Drosophila melanogaster: one gene and its partners. The protein of the gene in region 4 interacts with the protein of the main gene of each other region in a pairwise test. Each region holds a gene or a part of one and is shown on either strand. Other genes may lie near its edges.

Region 1 (3,973 bases), on a different chromosome or scaffold from region 4:
ACGCGACTCCATCATCTTGGCGCGTTGCGCATGCGCATCTGGAATGATCGATTCAATTATGATGCATTTGCTGATCAATATTTGGGAACTAGTTGAACAGAAAGGCATTGCATTTGAAAAATATTTAGTAAGCGCTTCAAATTAAGTACACGGGATTAACACATAAATATGACATCTTTTTAATGACACTTAAATACAAACATAGATGTATGTACATATATATGTATGTGCGACTATATTGTGTCACATTCAATTCATATAGTTCACATTTATATTATATATATCTATATATATCCTTTAGTTGATGTTCCGCTACAAAGAAAAGTTCTAACTAAATTTAAAACCTAACTATCAGTTAATCGATGGTCAAATATCGATAGAAAATCTAGAAATGAAATCAAATTTGCATATACATATGTGTGTATGTATGTATGTATATATCCTCTAATAAAAACACAATGCATATTAGATATTAGATTAGATCTGAAACCAGCTTAAGCCAATTGAAAATCAAAGGCGCATCACAAGTGGGCATAACAACGTTTATTGCAAATATACAAAATGCTACTAATTATGCTAGAATTTTAAAAATAAGTACGCACAGTATTTGGATGGCAGTACGTGTAGTAGATTATTAACAGAACAATTCCGACAATATACAAGGCAATGATGGCTGTGGCAAGATACAAGGGAATGTACAAAGCGCAGGCGATGATATTTTGCAACAAACAGAATGTGAGATAGAAGGCGTACTTATATTTGGTTGGTGCATCCTTGACGGGCGTAAAAATAAATAGATAGACAACGCCAAAGCACAGGCAGTACGAATAGTTCATGGGGCGGGATTTTGCGATCATTGGCGAGTCCACAAAGAACACAATGGTGCCGTAAAAGCAAGCCAGTGTCGCGCAGATGATCAGCGTTTCGATGGGAAAAATACTGGCCACATACGCGATGCAAAGCGTTCTCGAAACTACGAAATAAAAGCGAATAACTAAAAGCTTAATATACACATTCTAAGCAACACAGCTAACTAACTACTACTAACCAGTGAGGCAGAGCAGGAAGAGAAATTGCAGAAATCGTCCCTTCGCCGCAATATCATGTTTGTCCAGTTGGGCCAGGCGATTGGAGTGATTGTACGCCTGGATGCACCACGCTATGTTGCCGAAGTAGACGATCAGGGCGATGTGGCGGTAGTCTGGGAAAAGAAATTTGAATGGGTAAATGGCATCCATCGACTTTCCATTCCGAGTTTCACTTTCGTTGGCTACAATCAATGAGTTAGGCTAAACGCCTAAACTGACTTTGATTTGCGAAAGTGAACGTCAGAATTTGGTGTTTATAAGCTTAAATTACTTATGCATTAGTTATCTTAATTAAGGCAGAGAGAGAGAGAGATTGAAATATGGCACTAATGTAGTATTAATATCGTATTACATGTGAACTCCAATGTCGATTGCAAAAGAATTGCCAGCTGTAGTATTTTCTGCGGTGCTGATTCCAAAAACGAGTCGAATAGACGAACGAAACTAACATTGCACTCCTCCGTCATGAGTTTTTGGTAATATCTGTAAGATAAGAATTCAGATATTCGTTATAAACATTCTAAAGTGCTCACTTATGATGAAAAGAGAAGATAAACTAAACGGCAGTACTACCATTTAGGGCATTAAGCTACTATTAACTAGTTTTATACACTGACACTAGCATTACTCACTCGATCTCCGCCTGCTTGTCATCCCGCTCCTTGGCCAACGAGTATTTGAACGCATAGTTTAGGACATAGACATCGCGGAAGAGATATGAGATCACAGCATTTGAGTACACCCCTCGCTCCAGGATGCGTTTTTCGCCGGCATGAGCGCTCTTCAAGCTGAAATTCAAATACAAATTTATCGTTTAGCTGTAGATTTCGGGGGAAGTACACGCTATCGCGATATGTCACATACGTATGTATATATATGACCGATGTGACCACCATGGGCACCAGAATGGAGCCAATGGTCCAGGCGCAGTATCCGTAGGACTCCTCCATCCAGTACACGTACGCCAGGCTCCAGTTGATGCAAATCGAGACGAAGCGCCACAGAATGGACACCACAGTGAGCAGCATGCTTAGTTTCGAGATCGGCCCCATCATAAGGGCGTCCACTTCGGTTCTTTGCTCCGCGGAGGCCATGTCTCCTCCGCCTCCTTATTGCACATGTGCCACCCTAGCCACACACAAATATCCAAGGCCTCGACCTCCAAACTACTCTCGCCTTCAACTTGCTGACACTGGTTTTCGACTAAAAAAAAAAACAAAACACTGAAGATTAGAATAAAGACTGAATTCTACGAGAACTTGTTCATTTGAACTAGAGATAGATCGATCGTACGCTTTTATCGGCGGAAAGCCGATAGTGAGCTGTTGCATCGAAAGCGTCATCGACGAAGTGCCATCTCTAGCCGACGGGTGGGATAGAATCTCCAATTGGGATTTCCATCCAGTGATTTCCTAATTAAATTAATTTTTTCCAATTGCCCAAAGGCATAGGCATATTTCGCAAAACGAACAAATATGTTTGCTTGAAGCGCATAGAATCACAAACAAAAGTGCAAATCTCAGAGCTTAAAAACCAGAGCAAAGGAGAATAACGGAAGAGGAGGCAAGCAAAAAGACAAAGAGGAGTGCAAAAAATACAGCAAACATCATGCACAGGACATATGTAAGCCATGCGATATACGCCATTTGGCTGGTTATATTCGCCACTGCCGGCATAATGGCCCAGCTAGACCTGGATCAGATCCAGACCCAGCTGCCCGACCAGCTGAGGAAGTCAAACTTTAGCGTGAACGACGCCAAGGAGCTATTTCGCAACAAATGCATCGAGGTGGCCGGCGAGGAGGCGGGCGTCGAGGCATACGGCGAGATCGAGTCCGGATTCATGGTGCTAACCGAGTGCCTCAATGGCATTGTCAACTACACGGCAATGCAGCAGGAGATACAGGAAGCGTCGCCCAAGGGCGAACTGGATGTGGTCTTCAACAAGTACTGCAGCCGGCGTTCGAATGCCGTCGAGTGTGTGGATGCGTTCACGGCCAAACTGGTGCCCTGTCTGGTGCAGGAGGAGCGCGAGGGCCAGGATGTCATTAAGCAGATCATCCAGAGTCTGCTCAACTTTGTGTGCCACAAGGATGGCGATCAGATAGCCCTGTTCATTGCCGAAAAGGGACCCGAATGCATTGAGTCCCAGAAGGACAACATTCAGCAGTGCGTGAACAGCACGTTCTCCGAGTACCTGAACGTGTCGGATCTGCAGGACAACCGCATCAGGAGCATGCCCAAGCTGACGGTCGGTCAGAAACAGTGCGACGAGATGCTGACTCTGCAGGCGTGTGTGGTCCGTAAACTGGAGCAATGCTCGGACATAACACCGGCGAATCTCGTCGAGTCCATGTTCAACTTCATTCGGAACCAAACGATGTGCCGTGACAATCAGAAATCGCCGCTCGTTGCGGCTGCCGCCAGCGGAGGGAGTCGGGTATTCCATCAAGTGTGGACCCATGTGGGCATCTTTTTGCTAATCCTGCGATTCGCTCTACAAAAGTCTTCTTAGTTCTAAGTCTGGGCGTCCGCTATATATCTCGAATCCGAATCTGTAAAACGCCTTCTCAACGCTTTGACTTTGGCATTCCAAAGCGATTAATCAAAGAGCACGATAATCACTGTTTTTAAGCTTTTGCTTCGCTTATATTAATATGCATGTAGCCGTGGAACAGGTGTCCATAGTTCAACCGCTTTCGGGGATAAGCATGCCAAGGTGCTGCTGCTCCAGGCTAGCCAGCCATATCGTTTTTGTTTGGTGCTTCTAATTTATGTAATTAATTGCCAATTGATGTATGTATGTATGTAGTATTGTAAACAATGCTTATACTTCCTTCTAGTTTTACTTCTGAATCAGAAATTCTTCTGGCCTTTGTCATGCGT
Region 2 (5,059 bases), on a different chromosome or scaffold from region 4:
GCCCCAAAGTTTTCCCGGCACTGAGAACGAAAGTGAGTCGTTTCACCTACACAACACAACAAAGCTCGGGTGCCTTCACCCTCATTTGGACGAACATTTTTTTTTTTTGGCGCTGCGCAAGAAGTTCATTGAACTTGGTGGAAATTCGGAAGAAGTCCAGAGCCAACGACAAGCTACCAACGCCCTAGCCTCACACCCAGAAATCATTTCATTAGTTTCGTTGTGGGTTGATGCTTCGGCGCTGTACAAAAGTGCTTAGATTGCTACTATTCGTGTCCGACTGGAACATGGCCAAATCGACTAGTGATCCTGATCTGGAGTATGTTGGGGAACGCTTCCATTCACCTGTTTGAGCCCGCTGACCAAAAGTGGAGAAATTAAGGTATTGCATACTTTAAGGATGATACGAAAATTATTACGATTGATATCATTTTTTAATTGGCTTGAGAAGAAACAAGTTAAGTGCAAACCACTTAATACAGTAGCAGAAGATTTAAAGCCAATCAACCAGAAAAAATTGTAGTCCAAATTCTAGTACCTTCTCAAAATGTTTTATTTAACTTTACTTTACTTTGTTTGGTTCTTCGAATCTTTACACACTCATACAAAATATATGTAAATAATTACTAACAGCGTTAGCTGTCCATGTTTTTCGTTTGATCAGTATTTTGAACATATAAGTTAAAGCAAAACAAATTGAAATAATTTGTTTTTGGGATATAAATATAGTAATACGCGCCGTTGATCCTCCATGGCGGAATTCGTGCGTTGCCACATTGTGTGTTGTTGAAAAAAGCATGATGATGTACTCAAAAAAAACTACAATAATATATAGATAAATTTAAACTTAAATGCCGAAACAATCTGGTGTAAAACAACTAGTTTCGCTTCGAAAAGGTGCAACGAATTTCGGCTAACAAATAAAACGGATGAACCCCAATCTCCTGTGTGAACATCTATGCAAGTGAACTGGTATTTAAATAGCCTTATTCATATGTCATTTGATTGTTGTTTTCCGTTAGCTGCTTGTCGTGTCTACTCTTGCGCTGCAGCCGGCTGTAGCTGCGGCGCCAAGCGGTTGACGAACCCAATGCCTCCACGGATGATCTTGGCAAAGGCGGGCGGTGAGCGGGCGGCCAGCGCCTCGAAGGTTATACGCAGCTCAGCGAAAGCGTTGCGCGGATAGGGATTTCGTCGCGAGCTGTAGCGCATCACCAGATAGTGGTAGTAAATAACGGGCGTCATCAATCCAGCGTGGTTCCTAAAATTGAAAGTATTCTGCATTGGAGTGCATTCCCCTCGAAAGATATGTGTTAAAACTCACATGAAGGCCAGCACAATGGCGTAAGGCATGATGAAGATCTCGCAGAATGCAGTTGCCTTCAGGATATTCGCCGCCTGAAACTCTACAATGGAGATGATGAAACGGGCACCCCACCACGAGTTCTGGCCAATCAGCTGTAAGTACATTTCTTATTAGACAAGTGCCAAATGTGAAATATTGCTTTCCTTACATCCAGCAGCTTAAGCGAGTAGCTTGAGGCGTGCAGAACTGAGTACAGCAGCACGGGAATCAGAACCAGCAGCGATGGGCGGATGTTGAAGAAGATCAGGGAGTACATCATGTAATGACACGAGTCCTCGGCAAACAGTCGAGCAAGGAACTCCCGACTGAACGCGAACGCGGGCAATCTCTGGTGCAAACGCAAGGCAGAGATGGCGGCATTAGCCAGCATAACCTTGCTGAATGCGCTCTGTTGTGAGCTGTGGAGAAGTAAGTGAAAATTAGAGTAGGTCAATGTGGAAAACGCGTGTACTCACGTAAAGATGGGCAGCACGTAGCTGACGGTGAAGAAGATGACCAGCAGACGTAGTGCCCATAGCGCGGAATCTATGCGATTTGTCTGAAAATGCTGCAGGAGCTTGGCCGGTACGTTCTGTGATTGAGATTGCTGCGGTTGCTCCTGCTGCTGTGAGGATCTCTCGGAGCTGTTGGTCTGAGCGCCCTCGGAGCGCGGTGGTTGGTCGGTGGGTGCGCTCATGATGAAGTAGCTTTCGTGCTCGCTTTCCGTTCAGTATTCAGTCTGCAAGGCAGTTATGAAAATCAGTATAAGGTTTCTACTTTCGGCCTTATCGGCGGGAATTTGGCTGCTATCTTAGGCATAGGCAGCGATAAGAGAACCTTGGCTAAGTAACTGCGGCGCTATCTGATGTGTGAGGGTTCCAACCTAATGAATAGCCCGCAAGATCTGCCCTCTATGACTCCAGGATTAGACTGCACTACGCTTCTCAGTGCCAAGCGCTTTACGTCTTAATTGAAAGTCAGGGCCAACTGTTAAACCAGTCAAATGGAAAGTGGCTGGCAAACGCACTTAAAACGAGAACGGGCTGGCCCAAAAGTCGTGTTAATGTTCGCTTTAGCCAAGATGACTTGCCCACCATTACGGACAGTGCTTTGCATGAGGCAACCAAAAAAAGAAAACAGCCAAGCCATCGCTAAAGTATCATGTACTCTTACGGTTTGGCAATTATATTTCTCGAGTATGCGGTTTATGATGCCTAGCGCACTAAACGCAAAGATTTCGTTACGAAGCTCGAAGAGAAAACTGCAAGACAGCGCACAATGTGCATGTTGTTACGAAATACACGTCAAAATATTGAAACACAAACAGGTGGCAACAGGTGAAACATGGGAGGGGGAGTGGGCTGGTCTGAGCGATTAAGTAAACCCAACCGAGGGGGTCCATCCTACGTGTACTTTCGATTTACATGTCGAGTAATGAGACTGGCAGTGGGGCAGCCGTATCGATTGGGATCTGTGGACGGAGGGTCCTTCAACGGAAGTGGGTCACCTAGTCAATTTAAGGTAGCACCTGTCAACCCGCGCGCACATTATTCATGCAATAGTCCGGAGTCGGAAGCCCAATTATATGATGTCACATAGTGGACAGTTTGGTTGGTAGGTACACGTCAGAGATTCAGAAGGTAAGTCTCGCAAATTGAGGCTGATTGACCCGACTGAACTCCACAATGAACGGCAACGAAATCAAAGTGCAGGGCTCTTCGCGCCGCGCTGTAGAAATTCGAAACGGTTGCGCTTGGGGATTGGATGCTTCCTCCCCCGCACGGAAGTCGCGGAGCGAGTCCAAATGCCGACCTGCATAATTCACCAGTGTAATTACTGGGCCAGCAGCACACTTTTATCCGATTTGGGAACGACGTCAAGCGAAGAAAGTTAGCCTTTAATCACATGGATTTCGTTTCCGGCAAGGCACTGATTTTTCCTAATTCACGTTGGCCATTCACTTACCTCTTACTTAGCAGCAGGTACGTTCCAGCCTGCGATATGATGTGACTTCGAATTAAACGCAAGTTTTTCTCGTAAATTAATACGTATCAGTTTGGTCGGGGCTCCCGTGCGAACTAGAGATGGACGGGCAAAGTTGATCTAGTTCGATAAAAACGAACTGACACAGGGCTGCCACCGATTTGTATCGCACTGCTTTCTCGATCTTACGAAATTTAAAGACCACGTACTTGAAAGTTGCTGTTTTAGTTGTCGATTAAACGCCTAAATATTCAGTACAGTTTGAAAATGTGTTGTCAAATAAAAGTTACGATACAGGTTTCTGGAGCTAGTTGTATTAATAAAATAACTTAAAATAAATTAAAATTGGTAATCGATTTGCATACGGTTAAAGTGCATATTATTTTGAAAGTATAATTTCAATATCGCAGTTGGCCTAAGTTTCTAATAATTTACAATTTGAAAACAGCGCCAAGGCCTGGAATCCCCCCAATAAGTTCTCATTTGTATCGCTAATTTCGCACCTCTAATCTTCAAACGCACATTTTGGTTTATTTTGATTTGAATGCTCTAAGATTCATTTAGTGGCAAATAATTAATTATGGACGACGACATCTCGCTGCCCGCCGACACTTTGGCCATTTTAAACGAATTTCTGTTGGAGAGATCAAAACGCGAAGCCGAGGAGGAGAATCAAATCGCCAACAAGACCGGCAAGGATGCCCAGTTCGAGGAGGATTGGGCAAGAGCACCTGCACATACCTTAGAAACTTATGGTGAAACTCTCTTCGCTTGCAGCAATTGAGTCAGTTCTGGTACAGCACGGAAACCAAGCACGCATTGCGTGATGTTGTGCGTAAGCTTCTGGCGGAGCGCACGGAGGATTCGGGTGACTTTAGTATAGCACTGCTCTCCTGCCCATCGCTCTACAAGGACATCAGGGAGATACATGACACAGGTAAGTGGACATGTGAAACGATTATGAATGAATTGTCATCATTCTATCTTGTAGTGCACATATTCGAGTTCGACAAGCGTTTCGAGGCCTATGGCACAGATTTTGTGCACTACGACTTGAACTGCGTAGGGAGCAACCCGGACTACCTCAAAGAGCACCACCAGCAATATGACCTCATCGTGGCCGACCCGCCCTTCCTGTCCCAGGAGTGCATCGCCAAAACGTGTGAAATAATCACTAGGCTGCAACGAAACCAGAAGGAGAGCAAGGTAATCCTGTGCTCCGGTGAGGTGGTGGAGCCCTGGCTAACCGCTCGCCTGCCCGTCCTCAAGTGCAGCTTCCGCCCGGAACACGAACGCAATCTGGGCAACAAGTTTGTCAGCTACGCCAACTTCAATTTAGACGAGTATATTGAAAATAAATAAGCAATTGCGTTGAGGGATAAATGCCAGTTTGGAGTTGTAGTCTATTTCGCAGTCTGATCGGCTTCCTTGCGCTGCTGCACCAACTCGCGCAGACCGTCTTCCTGGCTCTTAAGGGACTTCTGCAAGAACTCCTTCTTCTTCTCCAGCAGTTCTATCGCTTTGTCGCATTTCTCCTGCCTAGCCTTCAGGTCCTCGCGCATATTCTGTACATCGGTAAGCAGGAACATGCGACCCACGGACTGGTAAACTCTATAGGGAAACAGTTCAATTAGCCACCTGAACACCTGGAGATGATTAATTGTGATTCTAGTTATGTACCTTGTGTCGTCGGCCAAGCTGCTGGTGCCCTTTTCTGTCAGCTGGTACTTT
Region 3 (4,507 bases), on a different chromosome or scaffold from region 4:
GCGGGGAGCCACCTTGTACTTGTCCGAGCCGGGGAACTTTAGTTGGTTGAGATAATTGCGCGTCAGTGGATAGGCAACAATAATGTCTAGCTGCCCGCTGTAGATGCACACAGTATAGTGGGCCAGCAGTTCGGCTATCCACGGGGCCACCGAGTCCATGATATCCTTCTTCAAGTGAAGTTCCACCTTGTTCTCCTTGTCCAGATCATGGAATGTCTTATTGCCCACATGAATTGCCCGCCGAGTGGCGCCCGCCTGCAGAAATTCGCCCAAGTTGGCGCCATCATCATCATGCGTCTTCAAGTAGTTGTAGTACCAGTTGTATCCAGTAAGGTTGCTGAACAGTGAGCCATTGGTAAGGTCCCCGTTGATTAGGGAATCAAATACGTCGAAGGCGCACTCCATGTCGTGACTCTTAATGCATTCAGCACCCTTTGCCTCGGCATCGTGGAAACTCTGCAGTCCGTGCTCGTCGATCAGGCCCAGCTGGTAGAGATAGTCACCGTACTTCAGCTGATGCAGCGGATCCGAGAGACCATTTCCGATGGCCACGCCCTTGAGCGGCACATAGACGCGGGTCTCTATGGCATTTTGTACCTTGTGGATGTGGTAAGCCAGGGCGGGAACGTATTTTCCGGCATAGGACTCGCCGGTGACCCAGAAACCAGAGGAGTTGCTCCACTCGAAGAGTTCGTACAGCTGCATCACAGCCTCGTGCAGATTGCGGCCCACATCCTTCTCGTTCGTAGCATAGCCGGCATCGTTCTCTGTAAAACTAAAGCCAGTGCCCACGGGATTGTCAATGTAGATGAGATTGTGTGTCTTGCTCCAGGTATAGTTGCGTTTCTGAAGCTTCCCATGACCATCCAACTCTAGTGGTCCATTCTCTGTGAACAAACCGAAGAGCGAGGAGGCACCTGGTCCACCCTGAAGCCACAGGACCACTGGCGCATATTCCGGCTCCTGCTCGGCGGGGAAGTACCAGAAGAACATGTTGGATTTGAAGCCAGGGTCCACGGTCAAATAGCCGGAGTAGCTCTCAACGCCATGGAACTGGGAGCCTACGACGCGGGCCAGCTTTTGAACCTCTTGCTTGCTCATCGAAGCATTGTTGATCAGGGGCGTCAGGAACAGGGGCTCCCCGGGATCGACACCATCGTCAAAGAACTGGTAGCGTGGATACGGATTGATGAAGCTCCGCCTGTAGGGGCGTTCCCCCTCTACTCCTTTTGCTCCGCTTATTGCGACTATAGTCGCGATAATTAAAAATGCGCAATGAGTTGCAGTTTTCATTGTTCAACTGCGCTGATTCGACTGAAAAGCGATCGAATTGTCAGTGGTTGCTTTGCTTATTCAGCTTATGTATATGTATTCTTATATTCTTATTATCGCCCCGACCTGCTCACGAATCGGCCGATAAGGGGTTTAAATCAGTTCTCTCACTTGCCTTGCTTTTATTCGCACAGCCGGCGAAAAAATTTAGCTTTCCCAATTGAGCAGCACTGATATTTCAGTGTATCCGCACCGGTCAAACGGTAGGGTTGTCAAGTGAAGCGAATTTATCAGCTGTGATTTTTTACTAAGAGCGACTTCTGAGTTATGGATTGCAAGTAGTTCTTTTGTCGGAATTATTAAAAATAATCATCAACTAACTCTATATTGGTTTAGTTTTTCGCAAATAAATGAAAGCTTGAATTTGAAAGGTTTAACCAGGGATATAAAAGTCTCCAAAGTACCTATATATGTTCTGTTTTGTTGCTTATATCACCATTTCTTCTCACTTCAAATGGTAAGAAATTCTCGTTCCCGAGGCATTCATATTTCTAGAATCCAAACAATTGGCAACATCGAATACAACGGCAGTCCGGCAAGGCCAGGGCATTTTGCGTCAAAATTTGTAGTAGCGCCGCAGCTGATTTTCCATCGCCAAACAAAGTTTGAGCAAACAATACACAATGTCAGTCGCTGACACCATTGAATACGTGACCCTGGGCAATCCTGTCAGCAAGATGGTAGCCTCGTCCGCATCCGCCCTGCTCCGCACGCTTGTAACTAATCGACTTTTCCTAGACAATGTTCCGGATTTATAATTCTTAACTGTCTTCCTGCAGGGTCTGCGTCCCAAGAAGGTGCCGGTGCAGGAGACGAGTATGGCGGTGCTCCCTGCCGCCCACAGCTACGCGCATTCACACGGATCACTCTATCGACTGGCCGGCTGCCATTACCACTTCATTCGGCTGGCCGGGATCGTCGGCGCGTCGGCCATCTTTATGGGCGCCTACTGCAAGTACGTCCTGAAGGACGTCAGCGATCCCAAGGAGCAGGTGGACTCGCAGGCCTTTGCTGATGTGGCCAATCGCATCCACTTTCTGCACTCCTTTGCCATGATGGCCATGCCTCTGGCCCACTATCCCGTATTCGTAAGTTTAAATGGAAAAAGTCAAAATTTGTATTTCGTTGAAGATGTGCCTGGTTAAGTCCTACCTCCGCCAGGCCCATCCTCTGTACTGACCCCAAGGAAACCATTTATCATAATTGATCTCGGTCGTGTATTTGGTTTATTTGTAAAGCTTTCTTTGTTGGTTTGTCATTTACATAAACTCTGTGTAAAGTTAGATCTCTGAACGGAATTTATAACAACTCGCGTTACTCTCGAATCGAAACTCCAACATTGATACTCGAATAATTGACTCTCTGCTTAGCTAGTCTAATGCGCTGATTGACATTACAAAATTGAGCTATGAATGAATATTGATTTGAGCCAAGCGCTTTCTCCAAGTTACTTCTTTATAATATAGGTATGCATATGTATATTTATGTTGTATATGAAATGTTTCCAAAGCTAAAGCTAAATGTTCAACAACCACTAATTGCAGCTTACAAAGTAATTTTCAATACCACACACGATACTTGTATAATAATTGCGTTAATTCGGATAACTCTTAGGTTTGTGATATGAGCAGGTTCATAGCTGATATGGGTTCGGGGTTTTGGGTAGGAATTTGTTGATTTACTCTCTTCATAATTACAATCGTATGTTAAAAATGTACCAAAAAGGCATAGATTTTCTCGTTTTTGCTGTTATCTTGTAATTGGTATTTGTTGTCATCAGCCTTATTTAATAAGTAAAATCTGGGCTTTATCGAGCTCCGTTTTGTCGACGTTTTAAAGCTAACAACTAAAGCTAACACCAAATATGCACTCAAAACGCTGGCCATCTTCGCAAACTTCTACTCCTAGACTATAAACTATAGGGCCTGTTCCGTTTTAGAGTTTTCTGATTAAGAAATGTAAATGCATTTAGATAACAATGTGACTTAAATTTTGGGTAAACTATTTGCAATTTGGAATTTCTTACATATGTATATCTTGATTCCTGACTAAACATTTAAATGCTATAAATTCTTTGCATCCTAAAATCGTTTAATTACAATAGTCGTGCTTAGCTTTTCATATAGATTTCGAGAACAGTGGGGCTTGGAACAGGCCCAAATGACTGTGGTTACTTAAAGTAATTGGTTTATTTCCTCCCGCAGACTGGCACTTTGATGATTACGGGCATGATGCTTTTCAGCGGCTGCATGTACTACCGCGCTTTGACTGGCGAGAAGCGTCTGCAACCGTACGCGACCGTCGGAGGATTCTGCCTGATGGCCGCGTGGCTGTCGCTGGTCCTGTAGGATGCGCGGGGCAGGCCACCTATCTATATTCCATGTAGCACATGCTGAACTGCAATTTAGTGCAGAGGCAAATAAAGCTAAGCCAACTCTAACATACAACATCATCTAACATAATACAACATCAACTAAATATGAGTTACTATATCCGCTTTTAGCCATTATTTACAATAATTATAGTGAGGGCTTTGCAGCTAATGGAAGATACTTTTGAGTTAAATGCGTACAATCTCTTAGTGTATATAGCAGGCTAATGTAAGTCGCTAAATCGTTATAATGAAATAAAACAAATAAAAACGTTTTAACAAAAGAACCAACCGAGCTGTTACATTTATTGTATACCTGTACATTAATAAATTACTATAAAAACACTCATATATTTATACTAGGCGTAACATTTCATAGAATTCTCTTTTAGTTTTTTCTTTTTTTGGGGCTTTTCATTGGGTTTTTTTTTTCTTTAAGGTTGTTATTGTCGTTTTACTGGAACACATAATACAAATGCAATGCGACCTTTTGAAGGCCAATGCACAAAGTTCAGCTAAAATTAATTATTGCACAATTTGCAGTTTATATCAATCTTTCTTTTTTTTAAGGTACAAAAACATTTAGTCCCTACGCTCCTCTAACATCAGCTTATTGTCTTGCTGTTTGATTTCTCATCAGTTTCCTAGTTTTATACACCTGACTAACTATTATTTTGATTTGTACACGTCTTGTAAAAAGTTTCTCAGCGGCAGCTCAGTGGGGATGTCTGCTGGCGCCGCTGATGGCTTGCTATCCTAACAACTTCTGCTTGGAGGCCTCCGCAAAGAGGAAGGTCTTCTGAA
Region 4 (6,184 bases):
GAGAAGGGGCCGCGTGGAGATAAGGGCCACCCCGGGATGCCTGGAATCCCTGGCCAACCTGGTCCTCAGGGTCCTCCTGGATATCCCGGAGGTTCATATCCACCGTATCCGTATCCTCCACCTCCTCCTCCTCCATCACATGGACATGGAGGCCCTAAAGGCCACCAGAGGCACTACTATAACTACTATGATGAGGACGAGTATGATTACGGCAATGAGCGTTCTTTTGGTCTGAGAAAAACCGAAGAATTCGACGACCAGCCCTTCATTTTGGCCTTTAGTGAACGCAGAAATCCGTTTAGCACAAAAAACAATAAAAGACGAAATTAAAATAACATTATTTAAAACGAAATAGCTTTGATAATTATTTCTGTAGGTAAAAAGCAGATACCCAATACTTAAAAGGAACTTTCAAAATTCTTTTGAAGAATGTCCTTTTTGACTTTTGAGTGGCTTCGTTTATAAATGACACCAAAAATCATACAAAGTGTGGGTTTATCGATTACCTATAAAAATATACCACGCACTCAGCGTTTAAATCGAAACCTCTTTACAAACTGTATATTATTAGACATTTGTTAAGTCGTTTAAAATCTCACATTACATTAGGCAGAAAAGCTGGCTTAAACTATTAGCAAACATCGTCGTCTAGGGCGGTGTGGTCGTCGCCCTCCTCCTCCGCTTCCTCATCCAATCCCGCTTGCGTGGCACCAATCTCCGCGAAATCATCCTCCATGGTATCCACAAAGCTCGACACCCTATCATCGCAGAACAAACAGACATTAGAAACAAATAACAAAGACATTCGTTGGCTGGCATCACTTTTCAAAGTCGCACTGCGGCAGGAGACCCTCCTCCTTCGAGGCGCTGAATCGGAGCAGCGTGCACAGTCTGAGGAGTCCGAGGAGTATCAGGAACATCCCGGCCACATAACTCAGCCACAGATTGTGGGGATACAGGATCAGGCAGATGCCGATGACCGCATAAACAGGAGTGGGTCGCCAACCGCCACAAATCGCTGAAAGTCGCCAGCAGGCCAAGCAGCTGCAGGACCTTCGCTGGTAATTATCCCTGAAACAAATTGAATTCACAAATATGTGAACAGAGAAAAATTTGCAGAGAAAAATCTGAGCAAAGGCACTTGATATAGAGTATTGTATATAATAGTAAAGTATATCATATTATAGTATAATTAGGGTTTAATTAGTTTTACAACTACTAGGCTTGGTAACTAGAATTTCTATATTTCATAAATAATAACTGCTAATTATCAAATAATATATATACGAATAACTATAATTTATGAACATGTTATTTGGTAATCTTGAATAGTTTTCTTACTCTGCGCACTGAAGTTGCAGGAAGATAGTCACAAGCCACTTGATCTCGATAAACATTACCAGCACGGCTGAAAAACTAACCAGAAATTAGTATAGTTATGGGGGATATTTAGATCCGTGACTTACACTATATAAAGACCGGCCCGATAGCCATGCATGTAGACATCAACGCCAACGCCGCAGATAACTGAAATGAAAAATGGCTAAAGAAAGGTTCGGTGCGGGGGGTCCTTTTTGGCGGGTTGAAACGAGGAGTGTTATCCTTGAACGAGCCTATAAAATAATGTGAGTGTGTCTAGGCAAATATATTTATAAGCATATTTATTGAGCTGGGCCTTTTTTGTTTACCATGCTTTGGCCATAAAATGTAATACAAAACCAATGAATGGAAACGAGGTGAGCTCAAGAAGTTTATCGCAATTTTACTGAAGCTTACATCATTTGCAATAGAGTATTTTAAGAAGGCAATGTCCTACACATTACGAAATAACATAATGATAATTAATAATAAATAGCTTGGAAGAAACTTCAATATTCATGACGAACTTAAATTTTATAACTTAAAAGGTTTCTATATTTTTGTCGAACAGCCCTCCGCAGGGCATTCATATTCTAACCACATTATGGTTCCGCTTCACATTTTGTCTTAGCCAAATCCACTTTGAGTGTATAAGATATGGTTAGATGTGGTTATGGAGCCACCACGCCCAGTGGTCCATAAAAATACAATCTAATTAAGTTGTTTTTATTATGCCGGGTCGCGAAAAACCAATCAGATTAGCCAGTTAGATATATGTATATGTATGCCCCATATTTAAGCACAACTGCAGAACCGAAACCAAACCAATTACATTAAATGCTGTCAACGGAGATAAAAATTGAAAAAGCGGAAATCGAAAAAACATGCAAAAATTATCTGGATAATTGAAAGCGGTGGGGGAAAAATAGATGCCGGGCAAGAGGAAAACTTGGCGAATGGCTGGCGCCTAAAGGCTAACAACACAGCTCATTGTCGACCGTATGGAAAAGTTGCTGATAAGGGGAAAATCGGGCTGGGAAAACTCTGCTCTTGGCACAGGATGCCAGTCGTGAGCTGCAAGCTGCAAGCTGCATAGAGGCCAATGCCTTGTTAATGGCTCTGCCAGAGAGTTTCCTTGGAAAACCCCATCCCTCTTACCCGATCCCTATAATGCGGAGCTTATGAACTACAGAGATTTTATACTTTGTTTTCCTGCGTGCCACTGCACCCATGATGGACCCCAAAACAATTTGCAAAGAAATTAGTTTGAACTTGACCCGAAGTTTTTGTTGGCCTGCCTGCAGCTGGGCGATTTATCAAATTCTGTATAAAAAAACGGCGGTGCACTATCTTAAGCGCATTAGGAAAATGTCAGATGGTGGAGGAAAATCGTTATGATTGGCCACGATAAGCGTTTAAGCCAACTTTGATAACTTCACCAGATGGCAGAAAAATTGGGATGAAAAAATGTGATTGCATTTTCGTAGATTAGAATGCGGATACAGGGTGAAAAAGTTACGTTGTGCAACCAAACTGAATTCATTTCAGAAAGGTAATATTATTATTTATTAAGTTTTTGCTTCACTTTACCTTGCCTGTTTAATAAATTAAATTTGACTTCGTAAATTGACAAACGAAATGCCATTAAATTTCAGGCTGTCAATCTAAAATTATTGCCTCAATTTAAACGGAAAAAATGTAACACAAAGCTGGGTTGTACAAAAAAAGCATAATTGAATTGTAATTAAATGACGCAAAAAAAGGGAAATTAATCTTCTACCAATTTACTCTCTGTGTTCTATTTAATTGTTAAGCTAAACTGGAATTTCAGTAGTATTGGATGGCATTTATTTATTTTACCAAATTACATTAGGTCAAATATCCTGTTCATTAGAGCACATATTCTGTGCTATATGTGCTCTGTGAATATGGAAAACCATTTCCTTTTATGTACATTTATTTTGCCAGTCTTCTCAAACAAATGCAAAACCTTTGTGTACAATGAAAATATTGCTCAAAGAGTAATATTATATGAATTGAAAGGAACAATAAAAGCAGCCAATAAGAGCGTGTCCCCATTCAGCATCGTCTTCGTCTTGCGAATCCCATTCAGTGCCAAGAAATATAATAAGCCACAGCACTCAACATATCCCGAGGCAATGGTTCCCATGCACAAGTATTTCCTACGATTTGTCAAGGGTAAACATTCCAAATAAGGGCCAGAAAAGCATTGCACATTCATACATAAATGCATGCACATGCACATGCATCATAGCCTCGTATCGAGATTGGCATTATCTCGAAACGGGGGTCACCTGGGCACCGGCACCGACAAGTCTTATTCCACTGGCTCGGATTTCCGCGCACTTGAGCTTACCGAATGAAGTCAGCAGACCAAAAACCCTTATCACAGGACGAAGGCACTCGCACGGCTCTGCGGACTGATTGCGGCGATGATGACGGGCGCGGCGAACGCGCTGCGATTGCAGTTGCATCTGGCTCATGGCTGACTTGGTTATATATATATATATATAGATATTTACTTTATGAATTTCTATCTATATTTGTTTTATGAATCGCCAAAAGTGCGGCTTTATTCTTAATATCTTATTTATTGGAGCTCAAGTTTTTCTTCTCCTTCGTTATTACTGATGACAAAAGTCGAAGCCATAGCATTTAAATTTTTGATTAATGTGTAAGCTCCACTTACTTAATTTCCAATTTATTTAATATATTTATTCGTTTTTAATTTCACTTTAGAACAATTTTAGTTTTTGGTTAAATTCAAATTTTCAATGTACTACTTTCTAATCCTCCATAACTTTAAATACTCTCATCCGAAACTGACGTTTTAGGTCCTGTCCAAGGGAATCGCTAATAAAACAATCAAAGAGCCGTATCCACATCACAAAAATGCACTACGTGCCTGGCATACTAAGTGGCCAAACAACTTTGCGATAAATATTTTCAATTCCAGCTCGCACAGCTTTTAAATTTCACCATTTAACTCGGGCACACACTGCGTATTCGTAATGTGACATTTTTCGCACCTCTCCTTCCATTGCCTTTAATCACCGCACCGTTTGCTTGTGTGTGTGTGTGTGTGTGTGTGTGGCAACTAATGTCTGCAAATTACCGTTACCATTTGCACTTTGCCCCCGCACGTTGTGTGCCCTCTATAATATATATTTTTTTTATTAAATATTTTTCTTATTGTTGTTGAAGGTTTGTAACTTTTTTTATTTTTGTCAAGTGCCACTTTGCCACACGACTTTATGGCCGAGCTCTAAACAACGAACGTCCGCACGCTTCCAGCGGCGCCAGCAGAATGAAACTGAATGAAAGGACCGGCCAGGATTCGTTTCTATTTTCGGAGTCAGGATCCAGAGTCGCCGCTCAGGCTGCTTTTCCCATTGCTTTTCCTACTGCCACTGACTTTGTAGCCAAATACCAGCCAATGGGGCGGCGCTGCATTCGAAACTGCTAAGTTGATTTGTTACGAGAACGAACGCGTAGTGTTTATTTCTTTTTAAATGCGTTTTTGCGATTTAATGCTGAGATTTATGGAGACCGCAAAATTTATCCATGTTGTTTTAAAGATGTTTTTAATTGGTTAGCTGTTTTTGACATCCACTATCATTTGTATTTGAAAACTTATTTGGCGTTGGCAGTATGAGAATTCTTTAAAACTATGCTCTTGAAATATATTAATTGAAAGCAAGAATATAGGGCTGATTTTTAACTAGAATAATGCTTTAATTTCAATCAGAAGTTATTTAACTTGGTTTTTTTTTAGTATTGTAGTAGGAATACAATTTTTGAATTACATTGTTAATATAATTAAGGAACTCAAATAAATAATTAATTTTCTTTTTGTCTTCAGTATTTTAATTAGAACTGTTTGTATGTTTTATCTCTTTTTTTTTGTAAAAAGTGTTTCCTCTCGCGATTTATTGTGTAGCGTAGCGCATTGGGTCAGTCTTTATAGTCCTGCGGTTTTTTACAAGAAGGCACCATGGGCGAGAGCTTAATATTGTGTGTGATTTAAATATATTCCCACCCGAATGCTTACTTGATTACGATTTTTCCAAATGTAAAAGAAGAGGGAAGTATGAAATTTACCTACGATTTTACACAACGAAAATCTTACTTATATGCACTTGATAAATATTCTACCAGGTGTAAAGATAATCTTTAACTATTACAAATATTGAAGTTTTAAGCCTAAAACAGGATTCTCGGCCCACTGCTCAAAGCCAGCTTGATTTTATTTGTCACGTTGTCCTGTGTGTGAAGCCAGTGCCTCATGTTGTTGCCACTGCTCAAGCGGCTCTGTGTGTGCGTGCCCTCGTCCTGCAGGTCCTGTGGATCCCCGCACCCGTCTTTGGCCACGTTTCAGTAATTTTCATAACTGGCTGAATGGTGAGCGGAGCGGCGGGAGGTGTAAAGAAGCTCAAAAGACAACCAGGAGCAAAGCTGAGCAATTGCCAAGAGGCGGACGAGTACGCAGAATGTGGACAAAAACATTTTCGGTTGCTACACCGCCCTCATCCTCATAAATTAAATGGGGGCCAAATTCAGGAGAGGGGAAGCACGAGTAAATATTTTTTTAGCTCCTCCGCTTATTGTCCTGTGCATTTGCTAAGGTGTCTGTCGTCAGGCTTGTTTGCATTATGCGGCGTTAATGACATCCAAAGTGGCAGCCGTCGCCCCAAGGAAAGTCTCCACTGTCGCCGCCATCTACGACATAATTCACAGATGCCCCACACTCTGAAAAGTTAATTTCCTTAAGGAACAGCTCGAGGATTCTAGCGAAATACTTCTG

Evidence for each region.
Region 1: the proteins of CG14086 (region 4) and CG32579 interact in a two-hybrid assay, tested with the Drosophila melanogaster proteins (one large-scale study listed by BioGRID).
Region 2: the proteins of CG14086 (region 4) and Kr-h2 interact in a two-hybrid assay, tested with the Drosophila melanogaster proteins (one large-scale study listed by BioGRID).
Region 3: the proteins of CG14086 (region 4) and CG4686 interact in a two-hybrid assay, tested with the Drosophila melanogaster proteins (one large-scale study listed by BioGRID).

What each region holds. Positions count from the first base shown.
Region 1 is NC_004354.4:16,321,677-16,325,649, reverse strand, and holds CG32579 (uncharacterized protein), read right to left. Parts: upstream 2,365-3,973; 5' UTR 2,183-2,364; coding exon 1,953-2,182; intron 1,877-1,952; coding exon 1,721-1,876; intron 1,572-1,720; coding exon 1,441-1,571; intron 1,202-1,440; coding exon 1,049-1,201; intron 995-1,048; coding exon 585-994; 3' UTR 530-584; downstream 1-529. Other genes in the region: CG9917 (uncharacterized protein), read left to right, coding at 2,697-3,602.
Region 2 is NT_033779.5:6,069,439-6,074,497, reverse strand, and holds Kr-h2 (kruppel homolog 2), read right to left. Parts: upstream 3,509-5,059; 5' UTR 3,311-3,508; intron 2,286-3,310; exon of another isoform or gene 2,085-2,285; 5' UTR 2,043-2,084; coding exon 1,822-2,042; intron 1,765-1,821; coding exon 1,515-1,764; intron 1,459-1,514; coding exon 1,325-1,458; intron 1,262-1,324; coding exon 1,036-1,261; 3' UTR 537-1,035; downstream 1-536. Other genes in the region: CG9154 (uncharacterized protein), read left to right, coding at 3,909-4,049, 4,106-4,265, 4,320-4,690; Pfdn1 (prefoldin 1), read right to left, coding at 4,732-4,939, 5,009-5,059. UniProt on the Drosophila melanogaster protein: Member of the dosage-dependent hierarchy effective upon white gene expression.
Region 3 is NT_033777.3:19,862,878-19,867,384, forward strand, and holds CG4686 (uncharacterized protein), read left to right. Parts: upstream 1-1,618; 5' UTR 1,619-1,955; coding exon 1,956-2,048; intron 2,049-2,111; coding exon 2,112-2,420; intron 2,421-2,539; exon of another isoform or gene 2,540-3,536; coding exon 3,537-3,680; 3' UTR 3,681-3,992; downstream 3,993-4,507. Other genes in the region: CG4572 (uncharacterized protein), read right to left, coding at 1-1,293.
Region 4 is NT_037436.4:19,274,272-19,280,455, reverse strand, and holds CG14086 (uncharacterized protein), read right to left. Parts: upstream 4,666-6,184; 5' UTR 3,864-4,665; coding exon 3,737-3,863; intron 1,528-3,736; coding exon 1,467-1,527; intron 1,417-1,466; coding exon 1,342-1,416; intron 1,072-1,341; coding exon 823-1,071; intron 759-822; coding exon 632-758; 3' UTR 537-631; downstream 1-536. Other genes in the region: CG14089 (uncharacterized protein), read left to right, coding at 1-330.